Astyanax mexicanus: one gene and its partner. Each later gene encodes a partner of the first gene's protein in a complex. Links are inferred from orthologs where the notes say so. Each region holds a gene or a part of one and is shown on either strand. Other genes may lie near its edges.

Region 1 (12,091 bases):
GTGGCTGCGGCTCTGAAACTACGCGCTCACCATCTGCGGACCCGCTCGATCGCCGCCATCACTTTCTTGATGTCATCCTTGGCGCGGCTCCGGGTCTCGGCTCGGACGGACCGTCCCGACATGATGTTCGAATGAGTTTATGAAGATGACCCCGCTTTATCTTCCACGCTCCTCCGCTGCTGCCACTCGCTCTCTCTGCGCACTCCCCAAATCTCGCGAGGTTTGAGATCAGCTTCGAGAGCAGGCGTCGGTTTTCTTTTCTTTTTTTTTTTAGATTTTTTTTTTTCTTTTTACTTGAGATCACTTAAAAATAAAGAGTTTCTGTGATTTTATCAAATTGAAAACCTCTGGAATATAATTAAGAGAAAGACGGATGATCACAAGCCATCAAATCAAGCTGAACTGCACCAGGAGTGGCATAAAGTTGTACAAAAGCAGTGTGTAAGACTGGTGGAGAAGAACATGCCAAGATGCATAAAACTGTGATTAAAAAACAACGTTTTCATTTTACTCAAACATATTCCTATAAATAGCAAAATCAGAGAAACTCTTATTGTTTTTCCAGAGCTGTTGGTGGAACAATGACTGACGTATAAAAAACAGTCATTAATATGCATATACTTTCATTACTCAGGTAGACGTATATATACTAGGGTTTAAAAATACTTCAGTAGAAGTTGAAATATCAACTGAAGCTTTTTACTTAAGTAAAACTGGTTTCAAAACTACTTATGTAAGGTAAAAGGGCAGAAATGCCATTTGGCCACACCACACAAGCCTATAGTGCAAAGATGTCTAAAAAATAATTACTCCAGTATAGATAACCAACCTTTTTACTTAAGTAAGGTTACTTGACACTTCTGCATTTTCCTGTTATATTTAATACTGGATACTGCCTATAAATCAGCCAAAACAAAAACATAGAAAATCTAATATTCGCAGTTACTCTCTGTCTAATGAAGCTGCTATACAAACACAGTACCAGTTCAAAGTGTGTACACCTTTTCATTCAATGTTTTATGATTTTTTGTTACATTGTAGATTAATATTAATGATATTAAAGCTATACAGAAACATATGTAGAATTATGTAGTCAACAAAAAGTGTTAAACAAAACATGTTTTTACTTTAGATTCTAAGGAGCTACATTTAGCTTTGAGGACAGATCTGCACACTCTTAATATTTTAATCTCAGTGCCTTCATGAGAGAGAGTCACATGGAATATAGGTTTCTCAGCATCTTGAAGGAGTTTCTGGAGGTGCTGAACAATAGTTGCTGCTTTTCCTTCACGCTGTAAAGCTCCAGCTCATCCCAAATCACCATCTCAGTTGATCAGGTTTAGGTCAGGAGTTTTAATTTATTTGTGGACTGACCAATCAGCACTGACAATGTGCTCTTAGATACAGTGTGTGAGCATAATCAGAGCTCTGCCACTATAAGAACATCTGGAGTGGGAAAGTTTCTCTACAAATAACTATGTTACACCCTTTCACAATTAATGACTTTATTTACATTAATATTTTAATTCTGCATTAATAATGAAAATTGTAAAGTTAAAATTTGTTTTTGTTTTTTTTAATGTGAGGGCTACTCTACACTGTGATGGAAGCTTGCCCACGTTACAAACAAATAAAGACCAAAAATACAAAAAAATAATGTTTTATTTATTGTTATAGTTAACAAACCTGCAAAAGGCACTCCCCCCACACTGACTGAGTTCCATATCACAAGCTAATAGATCCTCTGGTCTGATTTTTTTTTCTTTTTATGTTTTATTAGTTCATGAACAGCTGAGTGTCTGAAAAAACTTTAGACACTAAACCATTCCACTCCACTGCAGAGATGAATACACAACCTCCCCCTCCACTCCACTGTCCCGTGGGGAGCACAGCAGCACTGTTTTCTTCACATTAGAACCGAGCCGAGCCACAGCCAGAACATCACACAGTGGCAACTGTTCAACCATCGACAGGCACAGAGCAATGAAGTGCGCATGGAAACGCAGTGGATCACCTGCAGGAAAAAAGCAAAACAATCAGTCTATGTTACAAAACAAATGTATTTCTATGTGTATACATAAAAAGTATCTATTTCAATATGCCAACATAGTTATAAAATGGACAAATATATTTTTCACTGTATATTTGACTGAATATATCAGATTTTTTAATATGGGGTCCTTCTTTATAGTTAGTATGCGACTTGCGTCCATTTTGCTTGGGGCCCCACAAATGCCTTGAATGTAAAAAAAAAAACCTTGGTTACGAACAGCAGTGGGTGATCATGATGGTGATCACCAGCATCTGGCTAAAATTGTCCATGTGAACAGACAAGTGACTCTGAAAGAAATCATATCTGCATTCAGTGCAGCAGACCCCGCCCACGTATCCCACAGCTCAGTGCAGAGGTATTTAGCTTTTGTAAAACAGCTACTGTCCCAAAAGTTTTGTCATGTCACTATAATAAGTCTACTAAATCTACTGAACTCACCTGGATACACTAGATAATCTCCACCAAACTTCCCTGCTGCTGTGAGGTAGAAGCCCCTCCCCCTCAGATCTCTATACACTCTGAACCTTGTCTCAGACCGCTCATCTCTGGGCATTGGCCAATCAGCAGCCAGGAAAGCAGCTTCTTCGGGACAGTGACCGAAGCCAGCACGGGCGGTGCAGAGCTGCACTGCCATGGCGGAGCGTGGTAACGTGAAGCCTTTCTGCAGGGAGCTGAGCCGCTCTCTCATTGCCTGCTCTGTGCCCTCGTCACATGTGTGATCTGTGCAAAAAGACACAATAAAAAATCATTATATTTAGAAACTGTCTGCCTGTACAAAAAAAAACAAAATGATGCTTCAGCTACTGTATTCAATTAAATTATTTATCTTAATCCTTTATAACAGTAGCACTGTGATTAACCCTTTCAGAACTGAATTATGTCCCAGTGATGGAGTGATAAATAAAAATAAAAAATAAAGGAATGCTGCTTTCTGTCTATAATGCTTGTAATTTTAATTTGATATTGACCTAATGTGTTCTAAATCACATATAAATAGTAACAATAAGCTCCTATTTTGCCTCACTGGCTCAAGTGCAGCCATGCCCTAATTTCTGAGTTGGTCTTATTTTCCAGTGCAATGGTGGGGCTAAGCTACTGTTTCATTGGCTGGTTTATGATATGATGATATGGACCATTCATATATGATGTCAATTGTAATGGATGCAGGGTCTAATAGGGTTAAAGAGTTGTAATTAGATGTTTAAATCTAGATTTGTATAATTAAATCTAATAAGTATCTATAAATGTGTGTGTAACCAATCACATTGATTTTGGAACAAAATTTTAAAAATCAGCTTTTCAGCAAGAGGGAAAAAGAGGGTCTGCATGAAGCTGGACTCTCTGGTGACGGTGGCAGAGAAGATTGGATTAGGTGTAGACTAAATAGCGATACAAAGTCATAATAAGCCCTAACTCTAACACTAACAGGTGAAGTGAAAAACACAGATTTTCTTAATCTACAAGATCATCTTTCAAGTGGTGGATATATTAGGCAGCGAGTGAACAGTCAGTTCTTGAATGTCATGTGTTGAACAAAAAAAAAAAATTAACAAGAGAAAGAATCTGAGACACTTTGACAGGCACAAACTGTGATGCTCTAGTCGACTGGGTCAGAACATCTCCAAAACGTCAGGCAGTTCCTGGGGCATATGCCCAGTGCAGAGCTGTTGCCATTTTCAAATGATGATAAATGGAGACAAAAGGTCTTGTTCTGAAAGCTCTAAAATACCTAATGCTCAGTCCTGGCTGTAACTGACTTTTACTCACCGTTCTGTTTTGCATTCATTACTCTCTGCAGAACCGCCTTCTTGTCCTCGAGGGCGAGAACACACTGCTCCTCATAACTGTGCTCCAGTCTGGACTGGTATGCCTCAACAGCCTTCACATGGCTTTCTTCATCTTCCTATAGAAAAAAATGGTAAACAGAACAGAATCCACCACCATCTTGCTTTGACCAAAGTATGTATGCAGTAAGTAGTTTTTTTTTTTTTTTAATAATATGCCACAGGTATAGATGCAGGTACAGTTTACATTATCTCTACAGCATGACAATAAGCCTACACATGGTTAGCCATTTCTTGGCGAGGAGCCTTTATAATATACAAGCTTTTGACAAGTGTGCATTTCCCAACAGTGCTTGTATAAATTACAAAAAAAACAAATATCAATTTTACCCTTAAACAATATTTTAGCCTCTTTGTGCCATTAAACAAAAAACACTCACAAAAATAAACATGAGAGGGTATTCTATGGTTGCAAACAATAAGTAGCCATTTTACTCCAGTAAACACTCTAGAACAACTGCTTGACAAGTCAATGTTAGAGAAGTACTATCAGTACTCCCAGTGTGTATAAGAGTGGTATAAACTCCCCAGGAACTGATTTCCTGATTGTCAAACAATCAGGAAATCACTTAAATAGAACCTGTCTGACAACATGAAGCAAAATATAAGATCTTAAAAGCAACACATCATATGTATTTCTGAAGAAATTCACTCACATCTGTCCATCTGTAAAAGGTTTAAAAATACATTCTAAAGCATTGGGACTGTAGTGAACCACAGTGAGAGCTATTTTTCACAAACGCAGATACAATGGAACACTGGTGAACCTTCCCAGGAGTGACCAGCCTACCAAAATTACTCTAAAAGGGTATGGACAACTAATCCTGGAGGTCACAAAATAACCAATGACAACATCTAAAGAATGGCAGGCCACATCTGCCTCAGTTAAGGACAGTGTTAATGATTCAATAATAAAAAAAAGAGACTGGACGAAAATGGTTTTCATTAGATTCTAGGCAGGTTTCAAGACAAAAAACACTGCTGACCAAGAAAAACACAACAGGCCATCTCACATTTGGCAGCAAACATCCTGATGATCTTTTTGGAAGATGTGTGGCCCATTACAACTTGCGTAAATCAAAAAATAATAATTTCAGAAAAAGAGCATCATACTGAACGTAAAACATGGTGGTGGTAGTGTGAAGTTCTGGGGCTACTCTGCTGCTTCTGGGCCTGAACAACTTGTTCACAGCTTTAATAGATGGAACAAGGAATTCTGCTGTTTACCAGAAAATTCTGAGGGAGAATGTCTGGCCATCAGTTCATGACTTTCAGCTCAGGTGCACCTCGGTTCTGCAGCAGGACAATGATCCAAACAAAACCCTTTGAACAAAACAATTCTGTAAAGAAGAGTGGGACAAACTTGCAGTTGTTGCCAAGGGTGGTACAACCAGGTTATTAGGTTTAAGGGGCAAACACTTTATAGGGTTAGATTGGTTTGGATAGACTTTTTTCCCTAATAAATAAAACGATAATTTAAAAAGTGTGTTTTATATTTACTAAGGTTATATTTGTCTGATATTAAAATGTGTTTTTAATCTTTGCTTTAAAAAGCAAAAACAATAGGAATCTGAGGGTGCCAAATACAAAAAGATGAAAATAAACCCAGTGATTTCTCCAATTCTTATATAACCAATAAAATAAAGACAGTTAACACTAGATAACCTGGTTGTGTGTGTGTTGTACAGCAGCCCTGCCTCTCTCCAGCAGCAGACTGGCTTCCTCCTGCAGGATCTCCAGCGGTCTCCCCAGCCGCACATTCTGCCTCGGCTGCCTGGCCAGCGAGCCCACCAGCGCCCCGACCACCCCGTCCTCCTCCCGGACTCTCCGGATGTCGCCTGCTCTCCACAGTAGAGGAGTGCCCCCGACCAGGCTGATGTTCACACGGGGTTCCCTGCTCCTCTCCCGGTCTCCCTCACTCTCAGCCCCCGCTGCTTCACCGCCCTCCCCGGCTCCTCCGTTCTGTCGAGTGCCGTGATCTTCAGCCGGCCTCTCACAGTCCATCTCAGAACCAGAACTAAGCCTAGAACATGTTTAACCATTAAACACAAGTTCTGTTAGAGAACGCTGAAGCTGGGCTGAGGATGAACCACATGGCCACACACTGCAGTTTCAGTCTGTCTGTGTTTAATATATTTAATACCTATATTACGGGTATTTTCTGTACTGTAGATTAAAACACAGATAAAAACAAAAAAGTAAATATAAAATAGATACTAATCTATGCAATCTAGATTTATTCACAGTTTAACAAAACTTCTTTTTCTCCTAAACAGCAGGACTTTTATCTGTTGATCACGCTGCTCTACAGGTCCGACTTCCTGTTTTCACTGTTTACGTTCGTGACGCGAAACACCACGTGGCCTACGTCTGTCATTATAACCAATGGGCTTTAAGCAAAGGTCTTTATTTAACATAACGTTACGTTTAGTTTTTTTTTTTTATGCAGAAATAAATTACACTACCGATCAAAAATAAAAATAAAAAAGTTTTAGAACACTCACTGTTTCATTTTGTAAAAAAAAAACTGAATATAGTAAAAATAAAAAAATTAACAGGTTTGGAGTCTTTTTAAAATAAGTTACTGGTTAAGAGTTATAGCTGGTCTGTAGGAATATAAGTAAACTAAGCTTTGGAAATTGATGAAAAAAATGAGAATTTCCAAGCCACTGCACAGCACTTTCATCATAATAACTAAAAAAGAAACACAGATAACTCTGTAACTATTAAAACCATAAGTCAGTTCTTTCAACAAGTTACCACTGCCATTGTGTTTACGTGCATCTCCGTGGAAACACGCACCCAAAGTGTAAATATGGTGTGTAGCAGTGGACAAATAGCTATTTTATTAAACGTGAGGAGACGAAACTCAAAAAAATAAAATTACCAGAGGACGACAGAGTTCAGCAAAAAACAGTAGGTAATTCAGGCATGTAATTTTCTGAGACGTCTGAGAAAAACGAGTACATGGTCGTTCTGGACGGGAATAAAATCACAGAGGGCCCCCCATAAAAGAGAAAATTAACCCAGGACCCCCTGAGAAACTAATCCCATCCGGATAGAAACTGGAGAAAACTGGTACACGGCCAGACTGACCCACGTACCAACACCTTTAGCTTAGTTTAACGGTGGACTAAGTCTTTGTTTCAGCAGTGAAGAAAATAATTAGATGTCTAACAGGTGAAGTGCAATAATAAAGACATGGCTAAAGTCATTTCTTTTATTAAAAATATAGAAATAAAGCAGAACAAGTGGGTAGTAGAAAAATAGTTTATATATTTGTATAGTTATATTATATTGTTTCATTTCAATATATCCCTAATATATATACTTTAATTCTAAAACTTTTGCACAATCTCTTTTTAGTGTTTACTGACTTACAGTTTTGAGAAGCTTTTGGCCTGAAATATTTTATATCCTTTGTGGAGGTTCTTGCAGGGTGTTCAAAAAAGTGAAAATAGTCTAGGAAGGAATCTTTTTTGTTTTCCAATTTACTACTGTTTTACCATCATCAGCATTAAATGTAAAACTTAAAAGACACAATTAAGTTGACTGCTGGTAAAATGTTTGTGGTCCTGTGTTTGTTGCCCCTAAAATGAACTGACACCCTGTCCAAGAGGCATAGCCGTCTTGAACCCACTAATAAACTTTTAACCCATCTCAGTTCTACAGTATCTGTTGCAGACACTGGGATCCATGGCTCATATTATCACGTCTGTAAATAAATCATATATTCATATAGGTATTCCAATCCATGCCATATGTTTGACAAAATGCATCAGTAAATGGTGAAAGTACTTGCAATGTTGATCACATTATTGTCTAAAGCTGCAGTAAAAAATGTGTGTATGTTGCATTTTATTATATAACATATCTATATTATCCAAACTTCATTTAAACTTCATATTCGTATGATCATACTCAGAAAGTGCCGAGTATTCAGTCCTGCTCTATGCATGATACCATATCTATAGCCATATGTCATTTCACACACTGGTTACTTGTTAATGCGTACATGGTACTTGTACGTGTGCAACATATGCACCACCTGTCCTTGAGCATGGTCAGCAAATCTGCTGTTCTCTAGGTATATAAGCAAGGCCTGAGGGCGTCCAAATACAGCGAGACGTTCCTGTCCAGCACAACCATGAAGGCTCTCATTCTCCTGGCCCTGTGCGCCGTGGCGTACGCCGCCCCCCTGGATGGTGACGATGACAAGATCGTCGGTGGCTACGAGTGCCAGAAGAACGGTGTGGCCTACCAGGTCTCCCTGAACGCCGGCTACCACTTCTGCGGCGGCTCCCTCATCAGCAGCCAGTGGGTGGTGTCTGCCGCCCATTGCTACAAGTCTCGCATCCAGGTGCGCCTGGGAGAGCACAACATCAACGTCAACGAGGGCACCGAGCAGTTCCTCAACTCCGCTGTGGTGGTCAAGCACCCTCGCTACAACGGCAACAACCTGGACAACGACATCATGCTCATCAAGCTCAGCCAACCCGCCAACCTCAACAGCTACGTCAAGACCGTGTCCCTGCCCAGCAGCTGCGCCGCCGCCGGCACCCGCTGCCTCATCTCCGGCTGGGGCAACACCAGCAGCAGTGGCAGCAACTACCCCGACCGCCTGAGGTGCCTGGATGCCCCCATCCTGAGTGACAGTTCCTGCAGAAACTCCTACCCCGGTCAGATCACCTCCAACATGTTCTGCGCCGGATTCCTCGAGGGCGGAAAGGACTCCTGCCAGGGCGACTCCGGTGGACCCGTGGTCTGCAACGGACAGCTGCAGGGCGTCGTCTCCTGGGGTTACGGATGTGCCCAGAGGAACAAGCCCGGCGTCTACACCAAAGTCTGCAACTACAACACCTGGATCAGGGACACCATGAAGTCCTATTAAATTATCATTCCTGAGGTCTCAATAAAATTCCATTAGAAAATATTCAACTCCTCTGTGATTTCTTTCAACAATTCAACAACTGGCATCTAAACTGCATTTGCATCAACTTTAGAAAAAAAAAACAGTTAAAAACAACTAAAAAGCTAAAGTGCCCTCTAGAGTGGCAGTAAAGTGCTCATCTAGCAAAAAAATTATAATTAAGTTTCTACTTGATCAAAAATAATACAATTTGAGTCAGATTAGAGAAAATTGAAGTCAAAAATGAATATTCACATTTTTGCTTTGAAACCAGCTAATATACTTACAGAAGTGTAACTTTACACTGTGTTTTTAACACATTCAGACGCAAACTGATAATACATCAGGTAGAAGATTATTTAAATCCTACAGTTTCAGTGTTGGTCTGAAAGTGTTTGGACATCATCAAATGTCTCAAAATTGTTCACATTCATAAACTCAAGTAAAAGAATAGATACTAAGGTTTAAAATACATAAAATTCATATACAATAAATTAGAAACAACTTAAGAACGAGTTCGCAAGCAGCAGCAGTTTTAGACATAAATGATATTTTATTTCAGTTGAGAATATAAAAAGAAACATTGAAAAAAATAAACAAATCGGAATATATTAACTCAATGACGTACATTTCCTCATGATCTGGATAAAATATACAGTAAGGTATGTATTTCATCTTTATTAAGTCTTTAGCATAAAATTCTTCAGATATGAATAAAACTCTTGATCCATATATCTAAAATCACAATAATTTATAATTGTGCGTGTGTTTTGTTTGCCATAAGAGCAATTTTTTTAATCTGGGAAATTATGCATAAGTATCAAAAATGTGCGCGGAAAATGTGTGCGTTAATGGGAACAGAATTACACACACAACTTTGGCCCTTGATTACTGTTACTATAAACAATTAACTGTTTTTGTAAAGACTGGGAGGGGGGGGGGGCTTATTGAAAAGTGCATGTGTAGATCAGCTGACTGCATCTTTAAGAGCAACAAGGCTTATTAATTAACAATGGATAGCCAAATGTAGGATTGCTGCGTGCCATTTAAAAGCGGACGTCGAAGTTCCAATTATGACTCCATTCTCCATGTTGTTAAGTATGTAAAAGTCTGTGTAAAGCACTGTTATTAACTGGTATTGTTCATATTATTACCATAATATTGCATTTTAAAAATGCTTTAAAATTTTGTAAAATTATCTGAATGAACTGGAACATCATTAACTCAGCTGTGAGATCATTCCCAGCTCCAATATCTGACTTCTAGAGTAAATGAAAGGCTGTAGCTTTCACAAGGACTTTTCAAATAAGATTTCCCACCATTCCAATAAAACCATTGCTAATCCAGAGGCAGTCGACCCACTGTGTATGTCAGGACTCCCACAGCTAACAGTAAAAGTGGACGAGGACATCCAGTCTACACCAGCAGAGACTCTGTTTTCAGTGAAGACTTTCATTGGTGCCCCTTTACTGACTGTGTAGTCCTAACATATACCTAGAGAGAGAAACAAAATAGTCACCAATTAATGTCAAACAAGAGAAAATCAGCAATCATCACTTTGAAACTATGTATTTACCAAATATTTGGCAACAAAAAATTGTTAAACTGAAAAAGTTAACATTTTTGATAATTAGAACACAAGTAAAAGCTTAAAAAAGGTTTAACAAACAATAACATATTTAATAATGTAATCAGATTGCACCCACATTGGGTGTTAAATGTCTAAAGTTAAAACTAATATTTTTTTAAATGCCTAAATGTCCTTTTTTTTTTTTTTAACAAATTACATTTGTGCAATGATGAAAATCATGACAAAACTGATAAAAACCTGATCAATATTCTGCCAATAATGGCATTTCAGTGCTATCACTTTTTAAAACCAATACATGTTTAAAATGTATCGAGCTATAACCCTAATGGCTGGAAAATAAAAGGCATGATTGTGTCAAAATGAAGTCTGTCAGACCAGTAAAAGCATTTTAAAATTGTAAATGCAGAGGTATGGACAGAGGTATAGGAACACCTGCTCATTCACTGTTTCTTTCCCAAGAAAGACCTTTAACAAGAATCAATTGCAAAATATAAACAGAGGCCTGAAAATGTAAACAAATGTAAAATGTAAAAAAAAAAAAAAAAAAAAAAAAAAAAAAAATTAATCCGATTTTATAACCCTAACTGCATAACCCTTTTAGAATATTTGATTTTCCAAATTACATTACATAACATTTTGCAGGAGCGTTTATCCAGAGCGACTTACAATTAATGATGTACATTTAGCAATAGAGGACATAGATCTTTAAGGCAAAAACATTTTAAAGGAGGCCAAGGGAAATAGTGGGAGACAGGAGGAAAGGTTTGTTAGGGGTGTTAGGAGTTAAGAAATAACTGGTTAATCATGTTTACCACAATGTTTTGAATATTCTATTATCAGCAGGTTTCTCTATTGTTACCTACAGGAAAAGGAAGAGCTCTGATTCCCCAACAGTCTTGACTTAGGCTCGTTGAAGGGGCAGGGTGTCCATGTGTGCATTCAGCTTCATCTCATTCTCCAGGATCTGGACCAGCTGCTGCATGGAGGGAAGGTGGCCAGACTCTAGCTTGGACCAAACAGGCACATCTGTGGACAGACACACACATACACAAACACAGCACAAGGTTAGTCTGGCAAAGCCTCTGGAAAAAGTCTTGACTGTTCTGCACAATACAACATTGAAACGGAAAAATCCTCACTGATTTATAATAAAATAATAATACATTTAAAATAAACTTACCATTCAGTGATATTTCAAAGGCACCAGTGGACATACACTGGTTTTCAATCATGTTGCTGAGGAAAAACACCATCATACAAGCATATATCTGAAAAAAAAAAGGAAAACAAATCCAAATAGTTCACTTCAGCTCATGTGCATCATAAGGGTAGCTGCAGGCATGGAGAAATTAAATGCAAGTCTTTATGGGTAGTTTTTCCACACAAATTATTAAGCACAGTCTCAGACTGTACAGCATTTTGAATAGAGAATTCTTGTTGAAAGGAAAACACAGTCTACGACTAGGCATAATCCGTGTTTGGGAAATCAACTCTGTAAGACATTCCAATACCCCTTTCAAATTTACAGAGTTTAAAGTAAGATTAAGTAAGCATTCAGCATTATGTATAAAAATAATAATAAATCAAATCATCAAAATAATGCATCAAATCATCAAATACATCAAGGGCCCTCAGCCCTTTACACTCCTATCTATCTCAAGATTACCAAGAGAGACAGAGGCTGATGCAAGTCT
Region 2 (12,128 bases), on another chromosome or scaffold:
CACGTCTTTTGAGAATGATAAGAAAGAGAGAGAAATTTGAGAGAGATTTAAGGGAGATTTGATGGAGATTTTAGTGAGATTGGTGACTAATGTGTGTCTAATAAAAGGTCACGTGACGTGCTAGCCCCATTCAGATGGTTTGACACTGAACCTCGAAGAGCGAATGGACACAAAACCTACGGACTATTCCTAACATTCCAGGAGTCTTGTCTCTTTATCTTGTTTTTTTATATGTTGGCAAAGTATTTTTTCTTTTGTTCATTTTTGATTTTGTTACACAAGTGCTACACCATTTCTTTATTACTTTTTCCAGGTATTTCTCTTTTTTATTTTGAAGTGTAACACTGCTCAGGACTGTAGTGCTGTTATTTCTGACTGTTAGGGGTTGACGCTTTTGGTTAGCTTCTTCAGGATTGGAGGGGACACGTGGACACATGGACTCATGGACTGTAGACACAGTTGAACGACTGACAGATGGATAATAGTATTTAGGATAACTGTGTTTAGTGGGACCAGTTATAAAAGCATCATTATGACGTCATGTAGTTTCAAATACATATGTTTGTGTTTCTGTAGTGCACCAACAGTTTGGTATAATAAGACTGGATTACAGATGTAAGCTTCACCATCGAAGAGGGTGAAACGCAGGTTTTCTGGCAGAATTGTTGTCCAGCAGAAGAGAGAAAGGACTGTGAGGACACTAAGTACATAAAAGTACGAACAGATTGAGTAAAATTAAACTGCAGCCCTAAAGACCAAGCCTAGGTAGATAAGATACGGGCCAGGAGGGTTATTTTTCTAGTAGGCAAACGTTTGTTAGTGCAAACAAACTGTGTGAAATGTGCAAAATGTTGAAAAGGTAGAATTGAGAGGTAATGAGGTCATGTATTTTGACTAGTTTTGAGATTTGAGAACCTGTAAAAGCAACATTAATTAATTTATTGGGTTAATTTATGGGAAAATAGCTAGATTGTAGTACATGGGGAAATATGTTAATTCAATTTTTTAGAAAAAAAAAAAGCACTGATGATAAGAAGAAAGTAGTACAGTCAGTAGCACAACAACTTAGCAGCACACAGATGATTTATTATTAGGTTTTCATGCTGGATAGCTAACCGGCTGCCTCTTTGGATGAGCCAACAGTGCTAGCTGCTAGCTGCTTTAGATAGCTAACAATTAGCTAACAATAACCCAGGGTGAGGCTTTTTGTTCAACCCATTTGTGGCTTGCTGGGTCTGCAGGGCTTGGAAAAACATCTAACAGTAATTTTTTACCTCCTGATACCTAAAAAAAAGAACACAGTCCTCATACGGGGGACATTAGTTTTGTTTTTTTTTGTACATTTAAAAATGATTCTTGACATTTGGGATCAGAATGACTCAATTAGTCCAAAAACAGAATGTTAGCTTTCTACAGTAAGTGAATAAATTAGTTTTAAACACAAAATTAACTATTTCTATCTGGACTGGCTGTAGAAACTTTTGACTGTGATTCACAACATCTTTCAACAATTTCCAATCAAATGACATTAATGTTGTCATGTGACCAATAGATGATATAGGCAGTGTCTCAAAATGAGGCCAATGATATTTAACATTTTACAAAAATTAGGATTATAGTGCAAAGTAGCGGAAATATAATATAAATATCCTTATATTCCCATATAAGGATGCAGGGTCTCAAGAGGTTAAAATAAATTAGTAAAATATATATATATATATATATTGACTTTAAGGTCCTTCTGCTGAACACAATTTCTGTCGGTTAACTTGCAAACCAGTCTTTAATCTGATTTAATAATAATAAAAAAAAACTGACTTTTAGGCTAAAAAGAAACGCACCCACATGCCCCTATTCCGTGCAGCTATTTATTCATGTCTTTTAGTTTAGCCCAACCTAGAGCCTGGCTGATTTTTTAAAGCTGATAAATGAATGGGGCTTATTTGCTAGATGATGTTACGCCAAAATTACTCAAAATAACAAATTAAATGGGGAGTTTTTCAGACAAGGATTGAGCCTAGTCTTGGACTAAACTAAAGCATTTTGAATGGAGATGTTCCAGCATAAGGAAAATATAAGCTGTGTTCAGAATTTACTCCTCATCGAAGAAGTAGTGCACTATTCCCTATATAGTTCACTACCAAACACCCATAATGCATCACAAAATGTAGTGTATAGATGATGTACACTAGAATTTCCAGTGTATACCATAATGCAGTGAAAGTGGTGTTATATTAGATGTTCTCAAAGCTGCACAAACAAAGATTTTAAGAAAGTTTGTTGTTAGGTTGATCCAGTGTCAGTTCACTATATAGCAAATGTGATCTACAGCTCTGAAAAATGAGAGCACCTAAAAATTAAGAGTGTCTTTGATTTTAGCAAATTAAAAAACTCTGGAATATAATGAAGAGGAAGATGCACCAGGAGTAAAGCAGCATAAAGTTATCCAAAAGCAGTGTGTAAGACTGGTGGAGGAGAACATAATGCCAAGATTCATGAAAAAAACTGAGATTAAAAACCAGGGATATTCCACCGAATATTGATTTCTGAACTCTTAAAACTTTCTCGTAATTTTTCCAAAGCTGTATATGAATCGTAAAGTAGTTAACGAGTGAGCCAATCCAAACACTGAAGCTTTAGTCTACAACATGGCTCAATCCTTGTCTGATCAAACTTCCCCAAAATCATGTTCCACAGATTTCCATTTAAATGAAAGAACATGGATAGTTAAACTTTAAGAGATTTAAAGTTTTTTAATACTTCAGTCAGGCTCTAGGCAAAGTACCAGTACCACAAAAGAAAACAATGACTGGACAAGAGAATCTGCTTTACTTTATTTGCTTTCCTTTTATGAATTCATACATATGTGTATGATACAAGTGCCCAATACTGTCTGTTCAAAACTATTGCCAAAATGAAGAAATATTCAATATCAAAGAGTTTTGCGTATTCCTTCCACTCTGCGCTGATCTCACTGGGTAATCACTGACAAAGGCCTTTATTCACCAACTGTATTTAAGAAGAAAAATCTTTTTTTTTTCCCACTTGCAGTTTTTTTGCAAAGATTTAAATTTTCTTAATCGGGATTTGTTTAATTTATGAGGACAAAAGTGATCCATCACTATAAGAGCATTTATTAATTTAATCAGTAATCTGATTAAAATTTGTCTTGGGAAGATATTGATGAATGGAGCCTTATGTCTTTTATATATGATATATACTAGTGCATCTAAAAAATTAAGACTATCATTGAAAAGTTTATATTTACTTTATTTTAGCAATTCAGTTCAAAATGTGAAACGTAATTTGAAATATTATATAGATGTATTACACAAAGAGTAATCAATTTTGGTTTAAAAAGACATGTCATCTGCTGGTGTTGATCCACTGTGTTATATCAAGTTCAAAATCAGAGCTGACAACTTTTATGAAGATGCAGATTTCATTTTCCAGCAGGATTTGGCACACTGCCCACACTGCTAAAAGTACCAATTGGTCTAATAGAATATTCTACTTTTCTAAAACACTGATTTTTGGGGTTTTCATTGGTTCTAAGCCATAATCATCAACAATAAAATAAACAAACAATTATAACGCTATATGAGTTTCACATTTTGAACTGAATTACTGAAACAAAGTAACTTTTCAATTATATTTAATTTTTTTGAGATGCACTAGTGTATATATAATTTATTGTTTATTTTGAGTCCAAAATGTAGGACTGTCCAAAGGAAATGTCTGTCAAATGTTATCCCATTACACAGGCTATAGCACGCCCAGTTCACCTAACCTAGGAGGACACACACAAAGAAACACTAAACTCCTTCAGAGACTAGAGTGAGGATTGTATTTACAACCACAAGCCACTGAAGGTACCTGTGCCACACCCCATCTGGATAGGAGCCATTAATATTATGAAAAATAATAAAGGTCAAAGAGAACTGCACACTTCTTAACCGTGCAAGCACTTTTGATCTTTTTTATAATACTGTCATTACAGAAAGGTGAGTATATTCTGACCCCATCATGCAGCCTTATTGCCCACCAATGAAAAGCTGCCTTCAAATACAGCCATCAGATAAATTATAAAAAGCTAAATCTGAGACAGTGGGCTGAACACTGCCCCTCAACTTCAGTCAGAATCTTCCACAATGTTATGTCCATTACATGGTCATGTAATGGTCATGTTTGGAGTCTTCTCTTGCGGTGCTGTCTCCGGCCCTGGTCCTGAATGTCCACCGGAGGGTCCGGGGTTAGCAGGCCGTCACACAGCCGCTGGTACACCAGGGTGGAGTCTGAGGCCACTGCACACAACAGCATTGGGCTTCCTCGGTCCAGGATACACCTCAAACTGAGAACAGATTTAATCAAAATGTGCCACATACAATATATAGAGTCATACATGGTGTAGGCAGAGAAATGCCTTGATAATAATGTCTGCTCACATGAAAAAAATAGATACAGACAAACAAACTCTGGATAGGAAACCAGAATCCCTGGAAAGCGAATCGGTTCTGATACATCAGCTCACAGACGCAGCATTGTGCTAATCCACATCACCCTCAGCGTGATTAGAGGAGAGAGCGCCATCTACTGTTCCCACCCAGAGCAAGACCAACTGTGCTCTCTCAGGGCTCCAGCAGCTGATGGCCGTAAGCTGCATGACCAAGATTCAACCCAGCAATCTCTTGCTTTAGACCCTTGAAAAGTATTACAGTAGTGACGCAAACCTTGTCCACTTACTCTTTGTGGCTGACGGTTCTGTGTGAGGGAAGTGGATAAACCACCTGTACCGGTTCACCTTCCTTCTCACGGCCTTCCAGCAGAACCGCCTGCAGCTCAGAGCTCGCGACTCCCACCACGTCCTTCCAGCGACGAACTGCAACAGAGTTCAGCCATGACAAGACATCCTGATTAACATCCAACATGCACTGAACATATCGTCACAGTACTGGAGAACACTAGAGTTTTCTCTTACCTTCTGTTAAGTCCAGATAAACCAGGAATGCTGCATAGACCTGAGCGCTGTCACCAACATCCAGATTCATCAGGTCTTGGTACTAAAGAGAATAAGCACATTTTAGACCATAGATACTCAAATCATGTCATTGAATAAAGACTCAAAGATGTTTTTGGAGGTCCTACAATTTAATCAGTGTAATGTAAACTGCATGAAAAAAAAAATGTCATTTAGAACATTTATTTGCAGAAAATGAGAAATGGCTGAAATAATGCAAAGGAAACAAGTTCATATTTATAAAGGTTAAGAGTTCAGAAATCAATATTTGGTGGAATAACCCTGTTTTTTAATCACAGTTTTCATATTTTCATGCATCTTGGCATCGTGTTCTCCTCCACCAGTCTTACACACTGCTTTTGGATAACTTTATGCTGCTTTACTCCTGGTGCAAAAATTCAAGCAGTTCAGTTTGGTGGTTTGATGGCTTGTGAGCATCCATCTTCCTCTTGATTATATTCCAGAGGTTTTCAATTTGATAAAATCAAAAAACTCATAATTTTGTTGCTGATCCAAAAAACAAAGATTTATAAAGAAAAATCATGAAAATTATCAGGGGTGCCCAAACCTTTTTATACTACTGTATATTGGTTGGAATGAAGAACAGGCAGCTTAAAGTAACTAAACGTCTCTAAAAATACAGAAACAATATAATATAGCTAGAAAAGATACTTAACTAGGTTAAAAACACCGAAACTCACTGCTGGGTGCTGTTTAATCCAGCTCGAATCAGCCGCTCTGCTTTCTTCCTCCATGCTCCCATTCAGAACGAGGGCGCGTCCCAAATCGCGTACCTGCGTTTAAGTAGACTAACTACTGTTGTGTATTAATTACCGAACCGGTAATTAATACATAAAGCTGAATATCTAAACGATAAACTAAAGTTATCTAGCTACTTGAAAGCAGACTGGAGTGCACCCGGTAACGCCAACATGTAACACTTGCCACTTCGCCACTGGAAAACACGGGCTTCTAAAATGTTAAGTGCGCACTATCTAGACTCTTTAAACCACATATGGAACGCGCCCCAACGTGCTGTTGTTGCGCTTCTCCCAAACCCTACCGGAAAAAAAAACACGCTGTTGAACAAGAGGTTCCGCATTAAAGGAAATCAATCGCTCAAACAATGTATATTAATCCGTGTATCATTCGTTCATTTGATATTCAATTGAGAATCAAAATCGGAAAATTAAAAAACCAATTCGTTTTTTCGTTTTTTCGTTTTTGAATATAATACCAAAAAACGAATAACGGCTTGTATTTTGTATTTTTATTTGGTTATCCAAACAAAAATTGGAAATTTAAAAAACGGACCAGGAGCCGAATTTGATTTTGATTTTGAACTTGACCCATTTGTGTGCCCCGGAAGTTACTGATTTGTTTATTCTTGGTGGGTTTCTGTTGCGCGGGAGTTCACTGCAGTGTTATCTACACAGTCTGTATTGCTGTAGGCAGCATGGCCGGACTGGAACCACATTCTGGCCTAATTAAAGATCTTTTTGAAGGTGGTAAGACGCATGAAGAGATTTCGTGCACGTTGCAGCAAATGGGGATCCAGCGATGTTCTGCAATGAGTGTTAGAAGGTTCTGTGTTCAACACGACCTTAAGCGAAAAAGACATGTATCGAACACAGAATTGGAGAGGGCCGTTGAGGATGGAGAGTTTTATCTTGTTCAGAGGAACTAAACGCGTTGCAGTGAAAGAAGACGATATGACAACAGAAAAAATCGGCAGGATCTTTCAGGTGTTTGTCTAACGTTCCGTAGCTAAATGTCATATTTAGTAGGCGGCAATTCACAGAATAACATTAACTAAATATGACATTTAGCTACGGAACGTTAGACAAACACCTGAAAGATCCTGCCGATTTTTTCTGTTGTCATATCGTCTTCTTTCACTGCAACGCGTTTAGTTCCTATGAACAAGATAAAACTCTCCATCCTCAACTCAATCCAAAGCCTACAGCAATACAGACTGTGTAGATAACACTGCAGTGAACTCCCGCGCAACAGAAACCCACCAAGAATAAACAAATCAGTAACTTCCGGGGCACACAAATGGGTCAAGTTCAAAATCAAAATCAAATTCGGCTCCTGGTCCGTTTTTTAAATTTCCAATTTTTGTTTGGATAACCAAATAAAAATACAAAATACAAGCCGTTATTCGTTTTTTGGTATTATATTCAAAAACGAAAAAACGAAAAAACGAATTGGTTTTTTAATTTTCCGATTTTGATTCTCAATTGAATATCAAATGAACGAATGATACACGGATTTATATTGGTATGTACTAATTACTTTATTTCAGTAATTCAGTTCAAAATGTGAAACTCAAATATTATATAGATGTATTACACACAGATTGATCTATTTTAAGCGTTTATTTCTTTTATTCAGTATTTTTAAATCAGTATTTCAGAAAATTAGAATATTATATAAGACCAACTGGTACTTTTGGCAGTGTGGGCAGTGTGCCAAATCCTGCTGGAAAATGAAATCCGCAAGCTGAGCCTCTCCACTCTTCCTCCTGACTCTGGTTTAAAATTTACTGATGGTCTGTGATGGTTTGGAGAGACATGTCAACAATGTTTTCCTTAACAGGTCAAAAATGTAGAAAAAAAAAACAATGCAAGGTGTGAAGTTTAATTGCACCAAATATTTATTTCATTACCAAAAAAAAAACCTCACAAATATTTATTCAGGATAAAGTAATTTTACTGCAACATAAATAAAGTGCTTAGAAATAAATTTAGATATATTTCTAACTATGCAGATTTTAAACACAATATATCATCTGCACTTAATAATACATAACATAAATAAACATATTAATAAATGTACAAAGAATAAACTTTACTGCTTATAATAAAATATTATAAGATTCTTATCTGGGCAGTGAGTGTTTATTTATAATAGAATATAATACAATTAATCCATATATACATTTGTTTTATAATATATATAACATATATAACATCTCCAAAACTCAACTCATGAGTGTATTCGCTGTGGTTATCCTCCACTCACTAAACCAACACTTGGTTTAATAAATCAGTGTTTTAGGGTTTATCAGTATACAGGTGATGGAACTGAACCAAGCTTTGTTCTTTAAACGAACTCTAGTTCTTAGCCACTTTATTAAAATGAGAATTATTGTTATTTTTAACTTATTTATGCTAATCTGTATATGTATCTTTAATACATTTTTACACTGTAATATTATAAATACTGTAGAAAGAGGCTGATTGTCACTGAGGGCTCCACCTGAATTCGGATACGTTCACAGCATCGTCTTCATTTTATCCTCCTGAAAACCAGAAATACAGCCTGGGTGAGCAGAACATCACTGAACCTCAAACACAAAATAAGAGCTTTAATCACTGCTGATTAAATACTGATGAAATACTGACCTCCTCTTCCTCTGAAGATAAATCTGCACCAGCCAGTTCACAGCAAAAGGCCAGATAAGAGCCAGAGCTACAGTTACAGGAGACGTGTCCTGAGGCCACCAGGGAAATCGCTGGCAAATTACGCAGATTAAAGAGAAAAGATTATATAATTAATTTAAAATATAGTTTCTAAGAATCTAAGAATTGATGTGTTATATTTACCTAAACTTCAAACATCTATCTATCAAACTTCTAAACCTAAACAAACCTCTACTCTACAAACACCAAGAATAAAACATCTACATCTTAAACACAAATACATTTAATGTCCAATTTCCCAACATATAAACCTCAGACAACTAACTGGAAAACATCTAAAATTTCGACATGTTGTAAACAGAGTGGTGTGGCTGTGAGCAGTGAACGCTGCACAGACTGCGCTCTTAGTGTGTAAACAGTATGGAGCAGCAGAGACAGTGTTTGTTCATAGCAGTATGTTATCTGGCTAATATATCAGATTAAACTGCACCTTATCAGCAGTTTAGCTCAATTAAAAAGAAGTGTATTTGATAGCTGTGTTGGCTGGGGCAGATTACAGCGAAATTGGGGTTAAACTTGGTGGTATGATTAATTGCATAACAAAAATGAAAACGTGTTTCTGATTCTTTAGTGATTCTTTTACTGATTCATTGTTTAACGTTGACAGCCCTAATAAATATATAAACCTTACATATCTAAACTTCAAAAACTTTTAAATGTTAAATACATTTATAACTTTAATTATCTAACTTACAAACATACAGTTTAGAACCAACTAAAACAAACCAATTAAACATCTTTATGATTCTCTTTAGTGATTTTATTAATATAATTAAATGTACTATTGTATATTTGACAGCTGTATTGTAAGCCTACCTTTTTTACTGAAGCTGAATGAGGGTCTTGTTCAGGAGGAAAAGCTTCATCCTGAGAAGAAAATACAGTACAGCAGGTTAACCTGAATTTCTTTTGGTTAAAAATTAAACATCGAAATCACACTGTGAAAAATCTGAAGAATTGGTTTGATGCCTCTGTAACAAAAATATAGATTGTGATAATATCTGATGGCAAGAAATATCAACTTTATGACCAGATCTTATAATGTATAGATATACTGTAGTTTTCTATCGTTTTAATTTTCCAAATATTGGTCTTGAACACTGAGAAAATAGTATGAAATAGTAATATTAGTCTTTATCATTTTTTAAGTGTAAAATGAAATAAAGACTAGTAGAATGTAACACTATTATAAAAACCACATAAACATGAATATTAAAGATTATTGATCTAAAGATGCAAAGCTTTTCTGACTCACCTGAGCTGCAGTCAGAGCTTCTAGTGTGTTCAGTCTCTGCAGCACGTTCTGCATGTCATCCTGTAGCCGTGATAATGCTGAGGTGATCTGTGTGTTCACACGGTGTTTGGTTTTCTCTACACACTGCGGGACTTCATGACCTTTCAGTGTTTTCCCAACAGCATCTACGATTTGAGATCCACCTAAATGATGTTCTGAAACAATCGCAAATCATGAACTTCATTTTATGAGCTATAAATTGCAACGTCCACAACCTGGACGTGTTCCGGAAGCAGCAAAGATCAAATAAAATGATACCGGAGTCATTTAGACTGATATGAGCTGTAATTATTGAGTAACACAAGTGGTAGTATTGTGTAATGCACATGTAGTTCATGTGTAATGCAACATAATACCCATTAGTGTCCTGCGATAATCCATCACATGTATCTGAAAATGTGCTATCAACATGGTCAACACTATGATCGGGAGATTGCTGATTCGAATCCCGGTCATGCAGCTTGCCATCAGCTGCCAGAGCCCTGAGAGAGCACAGTTGGTCTTGTTCTCTCTGGGTGGGTACAGTACAGTAGATGGCGCTCTCTTTTTCCCCTCATCACTCCTAGGGTGATGTGGATCAGCACAAGGCTGCATCTGTGAGCTGATGTATCAGAACCAAGTTGCTACAGAGTCTGACTTTACATGTGTCAGGGGAGGCATGCGCTGGTCTTCACCCTTCTTGTGTTGTGGCATCATAAGTGACTAGCAGCTGAATGGTTGGGACAATCGGACTAGCTTAATTTGGGAGAAAATTAGAAATAAATTTGAATAAAACTCTATAATACTAATGGATTATAGCAGGACACCATAAGGAACCTCTACAGCCCTGAATTATGCCCATACCAATCTAAATTTGTAATTATTTATTGTTCTTAGCAACCTTCATCTTTCTTCCTAATAGCATTAATATCTAATATCTGACACATTCTACTGGTTGCAACTATTTTTTGATGATAAGTGTACTATAATATACTAAAATACTAATATTACTATATTTTAAGGCTGTTATACTGTAATATAGCACATGTTCAATTAGAATATTAAACAGTAATGTGTATTAAAGCATATATAAGTGTGTCTACAGCATGTAAATGTTACCAACAACGCACCATCCCTTCCTCTGTCCACTGAGTCTCTCTCAGACTGGACTGGCCCAGCTGCCACAGGGATGGGGAGGAGGGTCTCCTGCCGTTTTGCATCCTGGCTTCCTCTGGGATCCTCCAGTCTTCTGGCTCCAAATGCCTCGGGCCCTGCCAACCGGCCCCTGGAAACCCTTAAACCCTGCAGGAACCAAATAAACCATCACACACACTCATAAACAACCAGAAACCCATTTTTAAATCATGTTATGACATCATTCAGGTGAGTCCTGAGCTAAATAGGTACCAATTATATTCTCACTCACATGGATATCATTTGATACAAATCACTACATGTACAAATGTTTGTGGAAACTAAATTTAGATGCATCTAATGCTGACACAGATTGTGGGATTCTGGTCCCTTGATTTACTTTAAATGAAATGTAAAATTTACTGATGATCAGTGATGGTTTGGAGAGTCATGTCTGTCATCTGCTGGTGTTGATCCACTGTGTTTTATTATCAAGTCTGTGCAGTTTTGTTTTCCCACAAAATCTTACAGCTTCCCTCTGCTGATAACAACTTTTATGGAGATGCGGATTTCATTTTCCAGCAGGACTTAGGCACCAATAAGTACCAATTAGTCTTATATAATATTCTTATTTTCTGAGACACTGTTTTTAGGTTTTTACTGGCTGTAAGTCATAATCATCAACAATAAAAGAAATAAACGCTTGCTTGTTAGCTACACTGGACTCATAGCTCTAGTTTAACATATAAGAAGGAACGTTTACACACCAAATACGCCTTGATTTAATAACTATATTTGGATTAGGGATTTGCTTAAAAACTGAAGGATGGTAGTACCTCTTGAGGTGTTGCACATTCCACTGAGTCACTGCTAACTTCACACTCAGGGACTTCATCTGGAAGGGAAAACAACATTAGCAGCTGTAGTCTGTGTTGATTTGTAAAGTAAATTAATTATGTTTTTAAATGTGTGTATTTATTTAAAAAAAATGAAAATTGGTCACAGTATAATTTCAATGTGTGTTAGGAAAGTTAGCCTAGCATCTCTAGTTCTAAACTGTTCTAAAAAAAGATTTTTTTTTTTTACCCAAACTAAACATTTAAAATGTCCATTTAAAAACATTTAAAAGTCCACAATGTTTCCAGTACAAACTGTTAAAAGAGACAGAAAATTATCAAATGTTATAAAATCACAATTGCAAAACTCTGCAGAAGGC

The links.
Region 2: the proteins of tsen34 (region 1) and tsen15 are in contact, whole or in part, in a crystal structure (PDB 6Z9U), measured with the Homo sapiens proteins. The link is inferred for Astyanax mexicanus from reciprocal best matches to the Homo sapiens genes TSEN34 and TSEN15. Residues at the interface, in NP_001070914.1 of Homo sapiens: Pro251, Leu252, Arg253, Phe254, His255, Ala256, His257, Tyr258, Pro265, Glu266, Asp267, Thr268, Ile269, Pro270, Leu271, Gln272, Leu274, Ser283, Val284, Arg285, Lys286, Thr287, Leu289, Leu290, Cys291, Ser292, Gln294, Val300, Tyr301, Thr302; in NP_443197.1 of Homo sapiens: Leu70, Lys74, Trp76, Thr108, Pro109, Ile110, Thr111, Ala112, Ser113, Leu114, Ser115, His116, Asn117, Ile119, Arg120, Leu123, Leu141, Ile143, Val151, Tyr152, Tyr153, Lys154, Leu155, Thr156, Asp157, Gly158, Phe159, Met160, Leu161, Pro162.

The regions. Positions count from the first base shown.
Region 1 is NC_064416.1:31,995,370-32,007,460, reverse strand, and holds tsen34 (tRNA-splicing endonuclease subunit Sen34), read right to left. Parts: upstream 6,219-12,091; 5' UTR 5,902-6,218; coding exon 5,563-5,901; intron 3,957-5,562; coding exon 3,821-3,956; intron 2,774-3,820; coding exon 2,492-2,773; intron 2,015-2,491; coding exon 1,818-2,014; 3' UTR 1,645-1,817; downstream 1-1,644. Other genes in the region: bcl7bb (B-cell CLL/lymphoma 7 protein family member B-B), read right to left, coding at 31-122; trypsin-3-like, read left to right, coding at 8,045-8,788. UniProt on the Homo sapiens protein: Constitutes one of the two catalytic subunit of the tRNA-splicing endonuclease complex, a complex responsible for identification and cleavage of the splice sites in pre-tRNA. It cleaves pre-tRNA at the 5'- and 3'-splice sites to release the intron.
Region 2 is NC_064415.1:56,944,514-56,956,641, forward strand, and holds tsen15 (tRNA-splicing endonuclease subunit Sen15), read right to left. Parts: upstream 6,165-12,128; 5' UTR 5,773-6,164; coding exon 5,719-5,772; intron 5,061-5,718; coding exon 4,979-5,060; intron 4,880-4,978; coding exon 4,744-4,879; intron 4,352-4,743; coding exon 4,183-4,351; 3' UTR 2,815-4,182; downstream 1-2,814. Other genes in the region: acbd5b (acyl-CoA-binding domain-containing protein 5-B), read right to left, coding at 8,312-8,324, 8,428-8,537, 9,322-9,372, 9,761-9,954, 10,909-11,080, 11,749-11,807. UniProt on the Homo sapiens protein: Non-catalytic subunit of the tRNA-splicing endonuclease complex, a complex responsible for identification and cleavage of the splice sites in pre-tRNA. It cleaves pre-tRNA at the 5' and 3' splice sites to release the intron.